Linked DNA regions of Drosophila melanogaster. The protein of the gene in region 2 purifies or fractionates together with the protein of the main gene of each other region. This does not show direct contact. Each region holds a gene or a part of one and is shown on either strand. Other genes may lie near its edges.

What was found.
Region 1: the proteins of SERCA (region 2) and THADA purify together in Drosophila melanogaster (affinity purification with western blotting; one study listed by BioGRID). This does not show direct contact.

The regions. Positions count from the first base shown.
Region 1 is NC_004354.4:19,863,645-19,867,399, reverse strand, and holds the start of THADA (THADA), read left to right. Parts: upstream 1-1,875; 5' UTR 1,876-1,941; coding exon 1,942-2,050; intron 2,051-2,137; coding exon 2,138-2,315; coding exon of another isoform or gene 2,316-2,320; intron 2,321-2,390; coding exon 2,391-2,672; intron 2,673-2,737; exon of another isoform or gene 2,738-2,741; coding exon 2,742-3,574; intron 3,575-3,641; coding exon 3,642-3,755. UniProt on the Drosophila melanogaster protein: Together with methyltransferase Trm7-32, methylates the 2'-O-ribose of nucleotides at position 32 of the anticodon loop of substrate tRNAs. Plays a key role in energy homeostasis by regulating the balance between energy storage and heat production.
Region 2 is NT_033778.4:23,933,983-23,937,737, forward strand, and holds the start of SERCA (Sarco/endoplasmic reticulum Ca(2+)-ATPase), read right to left. Parts: upstream 1,903-3,755; 5' UTR 1,843-1,902; intron 1,699-1,842; exon of another isoform or gene 1,598-1,698; intron 103-1,597; exon of another isoform or gene 1-102. Other genes in the region: CG3735 (uncharacterized protein), read right to left, coding at 3,486-3,755. UniProt on the Drosophila melanogaster protein: This magnesium-dependent enzyme catalyzes the hydrolysis of ATP coupled with the transport of calcium.

The sequences.
Region 1 (3,755 bases), on a different chromosome or scaffold from region 2:
GAAAACATTTTAAAAGATCTGTATTCAGAAAATCACACAAAAGATATTAGCTGGTAGCGGGTTAATTGAATTCGGAATTATATTATCACTATAAGCGAGTGATTACTGTATTCCCACCCACTAAGCCCAGTCTTCCTCCCTCTTCCTCTTCCTTTTCCCTTTTCGGTCGCTCTTATTGTTACGTTTGATGGGGGGGGGGGAGATGCCACCGTTAGAAAGCCAAAGTCACTCACCTCTCGCTCGCACCTTCAGTGGCGCTCGCTTGCCGTCCCGCTCGCTCTCACTGCGCTGTGGCCGTTGGTCCGCTGCAGCTAGTGCAACAGCAACAACAACTACAACAACTGCAACTGCTCTGGGAGCCGCAACAACAACAACAACAGCAGCAAGCACGAGGAGAATGGCCAGCGGAGGGCACGAAAATCCGTAGGCCGCCCATCTGCCGACCTTTAATGACGTTTCGCGATGCTTCCTAAGCCGTTTGTTGTTCTCCTACTTTCGGGCGGGCGCACTTTTATTTATGTTTTTATTTATTTGTGGGTGCTGCTCCACTTTGTGGTGAGATTTATTGTTTTTGCCGATCGCGTTTCACTTCAAACTTGTGCGGCGCCTATTTGCATAGAAGTGTGCGTGTGTGAGTGGGTGGCGGGAGGGGCGGGAAAAAACATAAACATAAACATTTTATACACATTTCGTCACAAATAAAGAGGCGCACACACACATACACATGCACTCACGGTGTATCAACAAAAAAAAGCCTCTCTCTCGCTCGCTCCCTCTCACTCTCACTCCCTCTCTTTTACTCTGGCGCTCCCACACAAAACACACTACACAGGCAAAACGGCCAAGCCAGGTGGATTTCTCCGAATTTTCATAGATGCTTTTCGGGCTTTCGCAAGTTATGTTACATGCTTGTTTTAAGATAGGTTACGAGAAAACGAGGAAAAACACTTTTACGAATCCTCCCCCTCTCACGTACACACACAAATGCACCTTACACCCAACAAATACATACGCACGCACACGCACACGTCGAGCGTTTGGCATACGAAAACATGATGCAAACTTTTCCTATTGGAAACCAATTGTGTTTTCCATCTGAATCGGATGGCACCGTGGGCCGAAATATTTACTATTCGCACATAAAAATCGCATCGTACAGGGCTCACTCAATAAACAAATCACAGGAAAAAAAATAAATAACCCAATGCACATTAGAGGTGGAACTAGGACCTATTTCCATGCGATACTATCGATAGATACGTATCAAGTTTTGTTGGTGCTGTGTGTAACGGGCAAGGAGAGCGGATGGCAACTCTTGTCGCGGCGCGTATCTCCGATAGAAGAAAAGGTGGCAGCACAGAATTTATGGGCGCACTGGGTTAGCAGAGGAGCAAGTACTTGCTAAGCGTGAGTGTTTGGCATCCCAGATGTGGAACTTAGTTCCACAAAGTAAAGTAAGTAAATAAGTAAAGGTGGCAACTAATGTCGTAAACAATATTACCGCTTGGGAATCGATTCTTTTCGATTCTAAAAAAGATCGATTAAGTCGAAAAAAACGGCCTTAAATCAATTAATCAGCTTAAAAATTAAGAGGCAGCTCTTATGCTTAGAATTTTTGTTATCTAAAAAAATGCAATGTTAATATATTTTGTAAGATCAATATGTTTTCATAGATTATTTATAATCCACTGGTACGTAGGGGGCAGTACAAATGTGATTAATTTAATTGAGGAATATTACTTTAAGATTAGATTTGTCACCTTATAAAGATAGATAGACATAGCATCGATTTCCTAGTAATGTTATCGATTTCTTCGCCCATCTGAAAATATCGATTAGATCGATTTTGAAATCGAATTGCTCACAGCTCTACTGACAACACCAAAGTGGCTGATTTAAACCATCTGATATTTACTATTTATCCGCAATCCTGACAGAACCATGAACGATCTGAACCTGCGCGTGGCCGCCTTGAAGGTGTGTGCTCACCCCAAGAGATTTGCCGAGCTGCGCGACGCCCTTGTGCCACTGCCCAACACGTGGATTGCCGGTGGGTTGTGGTGGGTCACTTAGTGACCACCAGTAAGCTATGTATAAACATGCATGCTGAGGCTCCAATCGCTTCTCCATTTTCCAGCGCCACATGACTTTGTGCTCCAGTTCGCGGCGGCCAAGAGCAGTGCGGAGCAGGTGCAGGTGGTCAAGGATGTCTTTTACGGGGAGCAGGCGCAAGATCATGAAGATGTAGCCCACTTCCTGGCGGATCTCCTGCTGGCCAGTCCCCTGAAGCACGCCGTGCGCAACCAGCTGACCAAGTACGGTGAGCCCACGGCGACTCAAGCCACACGATCCAACTGGATGTCCTATAGCCGATGATCAATCCCATTTAGACTCTTCTCGGACAATGCGCTGGCCAAACAGAATGCGTCGCCACATCGCAGGCACTCGAAGGAGCACCTGCTGGAGGCTCTGCAGCAGTCGCTCGGCGAAATGGCCAACAGTCTCGCAGTGATCACGCCGCCTGTCAGCCACGAGCGCACCAACGATGTCTTCGTGTCCGCCAACGCCTGCCTGCAGAACTTTCCCTTTGGACGGGAGGCCCTGGGCAAACAGGTGCATCGCTTTGCGCCGCTGCTAACTACCGCCTTGGAGCGCTACTGGGCGGACATTTGGTGCGTCAATCTAATGTATATGATAGCTGCGCACAATGCTGACTCCACAATTACCTTGCTTTAAGACAGTGACCCTACGCTGGAACTCTCGCCAACGCGTCGCAACGAGCTCTACTTGTACGTGCAGAATGCGCTGCGGTTCTTGGTTAGTCTGCTGGCCGAGTGGAGCGACAAGTTGCGCCTGTTCGAGGATCAGCGGTTTCCGGGCACGTCGAATGCGGTGGCCCAAAAGGTGGCTCGCTACTACGACACTCCGTGGGACGTACGCTCCATTGCCGCCCTGCTGATCGGTCACCTGGCTCGGTTTTCCGGAACATTCAAGGCGTATGTCGAAGACTGCTCGAGGCCAAAGGCAGAGCAGGATGTTCCCATACAGATGGCCGCCCTGCTCGTCCTGCGGCCCGTCGATTATACAGAAAACGCTACACTAGCACTGGCTATTCTGAAGAGGATCGTGGCCGTCAGCGAGCTGAAAAGCACCGTGACCAATCTGCTTGTCTTCCTTTCCAAGCATCTGTTCATTTACTCCAAATCGCTGGGCGAGATGCACGCCCATCTTCCTGACGACCAGAAGTTGCTATACCAACGGATCTTGGCACAGCTGCAGGTGTTCGCCCTGCAGAATATCTCCAGTGACACGGACTCCGTGCGCCACATGAGCAGCGCCCTGCTGCACCAGGTGCTGCAGCACGCCCAGGCCGCCGGCCAGGAGGAGCTCTTCCAAGTCGTCTATCGCCAGTTTGAAGATCGTGCTGCATACCTAAATGCCAGTTGCATGGCACTGGAGCAGCTGGTTGCGGTGGCCGGAGTCAGCAAGTCCATCGAGAACTGTCCTTCGCTGTTCGGAGTCATATTCCCGCGCCATCTGGGCTGTGAGGATTGTGTGGATGCCCTGTTCAAAGGCAAGTATCCTTCATTGAATGCAGCCTCGAATCGTGTACTTATTCCTTTTGTTATTATACTTATTAGCCATGATGGTATCGGCCCACAAGACGGAACCCTTCGCCGAGTGGCAGAGCCGGTGGTTCGGTCTGCTTTTGGCGGCAATCCGCGTGCCGGAGAAGCGCCGCCAGGTCATTGAGG
Region 2 (3,755 bases):
ATCCTTATCACGAATGCTTAAACTTATTTATACATTGTCATATTTTCACTTGGCAAGCGACAGAGACATCCGCACTATTTTGGCCACACAACAAGCAACACTATTCTTTTCGCGCATTTTGTGCTCAAATTAATGAGATCGAGATCAAGAGCCCGCAATAAATAGATCTGGGTGCCAGGTATTCGCCAGCAGCGACATTTTTAAATTTTAATTTTAATCTTTTTCGCGACCAGACACTAGAATCAGGCCATACGGGGAATTTTGAACGGCAGCCAACTCGCATAATACTTGAATATTACGCTGGCTACGTCACAGAATTACATACGTAACTTCTGATAACGAGGTTTCCACCAGTTGCCCGCCCACAAAAGGCGTTAGTTTTCAAAAAACTGTCAATCAATGCGCTCGAATACTACTTATATTTTGAGCACAGAGACGTGTGTTTCGAAAACATCTTCATGCATATAGCCTATATATACCCCTAAAATACACATGTGTGTGTGCATTATGGAGCAAAAAATCGCCTCTGTCCGAGATGGGCTAAAAATAGAGTCCTAGCACCCGAAAAATACAGCTCAATTCTGAACACTCGTAGATATAAAGATATGTACTAGGACCACATAAATAAGTTTGAGTACATATACAGAGAGACGATCGTAGGGAGAAAGATTCCTATTCTGCGCGGTTATATGTACGATTTAACGGCTTATGATATTGCGAGCAGAGATATCTCCATGCTAATGGATGTCGACACTTGTGCGATATGCTGCTTCCCACGTCCCCGAATCCGAATTTCTGATTGACAAGTCCACCGATGGGTTGTATAATAGTGGGTGGGTGGGTTCAAAAATAAGTACAAATGATTGGGCCATGATCCTGGGCTGAATGTACTTATAGAGCTACACGTTTCTGTAAAACTGTCTGTTGGTTTCAGGGATCTTTTGCAACTGAAAGGCAGTCAAATTCACTAACCGATGTAACCACCATTAAGCTATGAATGCGGGTAGTTAAGGAGTTCAAGAGATCGTGTGTTCTATGCTTGTTACAAGGGCTACAGGTACAGTACAAGACATGGATCTTTCGAATTTGGGTACGAATATATTCGCCACGGTTGCGGTTGTGGTTGCATAACCAGATTTTCAATCACAGATACATAGATCTCGGGCACTTGGAAAACTTTACATCTGTGTCGGATCGAATCTATTCGTGGAGTGCTCTCGTATTGGTGACATTCAAATTTTCGATACCATCCGGAGGTCGAGGTCACCGCCGAATCGTCGCCCTTACGGATATTTCATGTATGTAGATAGATCGAACTACGAGCTCTGGACGAGCTCCAGGGTGGCAAAGTAAACTGGGGGCAAACACTTTGAGTTTGAAGCACGGTTTTCGAGTGTAAGAAGCATGTTCGTATGTAGATATGTAGGCATTTCAATAACTTTTGGTTTCCAGGTTTTCTTTTCTTTTGAAAGCGCGCGGACGAATTTTCGATAGTTTTTAGGGGGGTTTATTTGCTTTACCCAATGGTTTTGGCAGTTTGGAGTAATTCACTGGCGTATTCGCTTTGCAGTTGTTGCAGAAAATCAACAAAACTTACAATTATTATTCCTAGCAAAAATTCCGTTATTATATAATAATTTATTTCAGTCGGAAGACCAAGACACAAAGATCGCGCTATTATAACGATCAACGGCAACTGAACGCAAGGAGAACGCTGCGCGATGAGAGTGTCTATTTGAATTACAAAATTCATATATTTTGGCAAAATTCCCAAAACTACATACACTCTCTATTTTGGCCCGGGAAAATACTTTTAGCACGCACAAACTTTTGAGCACTTACCACCTATCCAATCCAATCCAATGCGATCCGAATTCGAATGGTGGCGGTTCAGATCTGCTCGTGCAGCTCGTTCGTACCTCGACGAGGCAGATTCACCGTGGTCCCCCAGAGATTCGTATATGTGGCTAGGTATAGGTGGGAATACCACAATACCACGGGCACACGAGCTCCCCATCCACATACATACATACGTACATATGGCCGCCCGATCTCGGATCCGCGGGAGCGCACGGCCACGAAAGTCTAGAGCAATGGCAATGTGGCGATGCGAGATCACTTGTGGACGTGGATGTGGTTGTGGATGTGGATGTGCCTGGGAGTGTGAGTGCAGACGTATTCCGAGAAATGCACGTGTGTTTGTCTAATATTTAGAAAGTGGTATTTTTAAACCAATCTGGGGAAATTATGCTGGGTTGTGTGGAAGGGTTTGTCACTCAAAGGTGTTTCTACCTTCGGTGTCAGCCACTTCAAGTGGGTCAAGACTTGGGTCCTTTGGTGGGGGGATGGTTGGGAATGATGGCACTGGCACTGACGCATTCCACTTTCGCCGAGCTAGAATCCATCATAGTTATCCATAGCTGCTGCCCTTTGAATATTTTACTTGTCCTTGGCAAATACAACAGATCCCAAATCCCAGCCCAAATACTCATTTCCTCAATCTAGTTGATCTCGATCCATTAACAGCTGAAAGAGCATCCACCAGTCGGCCTGCGAACCCCTAGTTCTTCGTTTGGCTTTTCTGCCTTTTTCCCCAATTTCAGCAGAGACTGGCAGCCGTCGACTATTTTTATTTATAGGCTTGTAATGCCCCTACGGACTCGGACTCTCAGATATTGGCAAGAGCGCTCTCCGCACACGTTTCTGCCGTATGATATCCGCCATCAGCCATCCGCCTTGTGCAGCAGCTATTACGACTTTTCACAGAGACCCCCATAAATATGCATTTGGCTACTATTTTACCTCTATATGTCTAGGCCAGAACTTTTATAAGCTACCTATGTGTATATTTAAAAATGTTGATAAATGACAATGCAGCCAGGAATTTTGATTTATTTTGGGACTGGCAAATCTGGGTTTGATGCGGTTGTCAACCGCTGGATATTGTCTATTTAGGAACTCGGTATATGGTAATGGTTCCAGATTCCAGCAATCTCAAGCAATCAAGCGAAGTGATCATTTAAAAACAAATACAAACTGCAAAATAATGTTTTTTAACACTTAATTGCCTTATAAATGATAACTTTTATTGCATAATGCTCTGGCCAATCTTCCTTTATAAAAAAGGGATATTAAAGTAAAAACAGGCAAAATATATTGAATTCAAATGCATTTTGAATCATTTCATCAATCGGCAAAACACTACTTATGCTGCCTCTTATTACACAACCATTTGCCAATTATTCATTTTTTCATAATTTCAAATTGCGTAATAACAAAGAGAAGACATCGCCACCCTTAACATCAGATCAATCACCTAGCCAGTTCCTCCTAAAATCTCTACGTCACGAAAGTATTTAGGTCCAAAAATAGAGCCACAACTGAAAGTTATCACATACATTACTATTTACTTGCGTTAACATTTAGTATATTCTAATTGACAACTAAATATGTACATATTTCAAAGTCAGCTCTCGTGTAAGCATTTACGTTTTGGTGGAGAAAAGGTAGGAATCCTTTTGACCAGAAGTCAATTTCGCAGCATTCTCACTGCCCACAATGTTACTCAAGCTTAGCAGATCGTACTTTGTGTACAGGATACTGACGGACATTTCGTCCCCAAATCCATCGCGCGGATTTTGATTTGTCTTCAGCATCAGATTGATGATCTCGGAATAGAAGTGCGGAAAGTTGGGCGGCTGGTACATGATCAAGTTCCGGATGCCCTTAATCCGCGTGCGCCGGAAGAAGTGCGC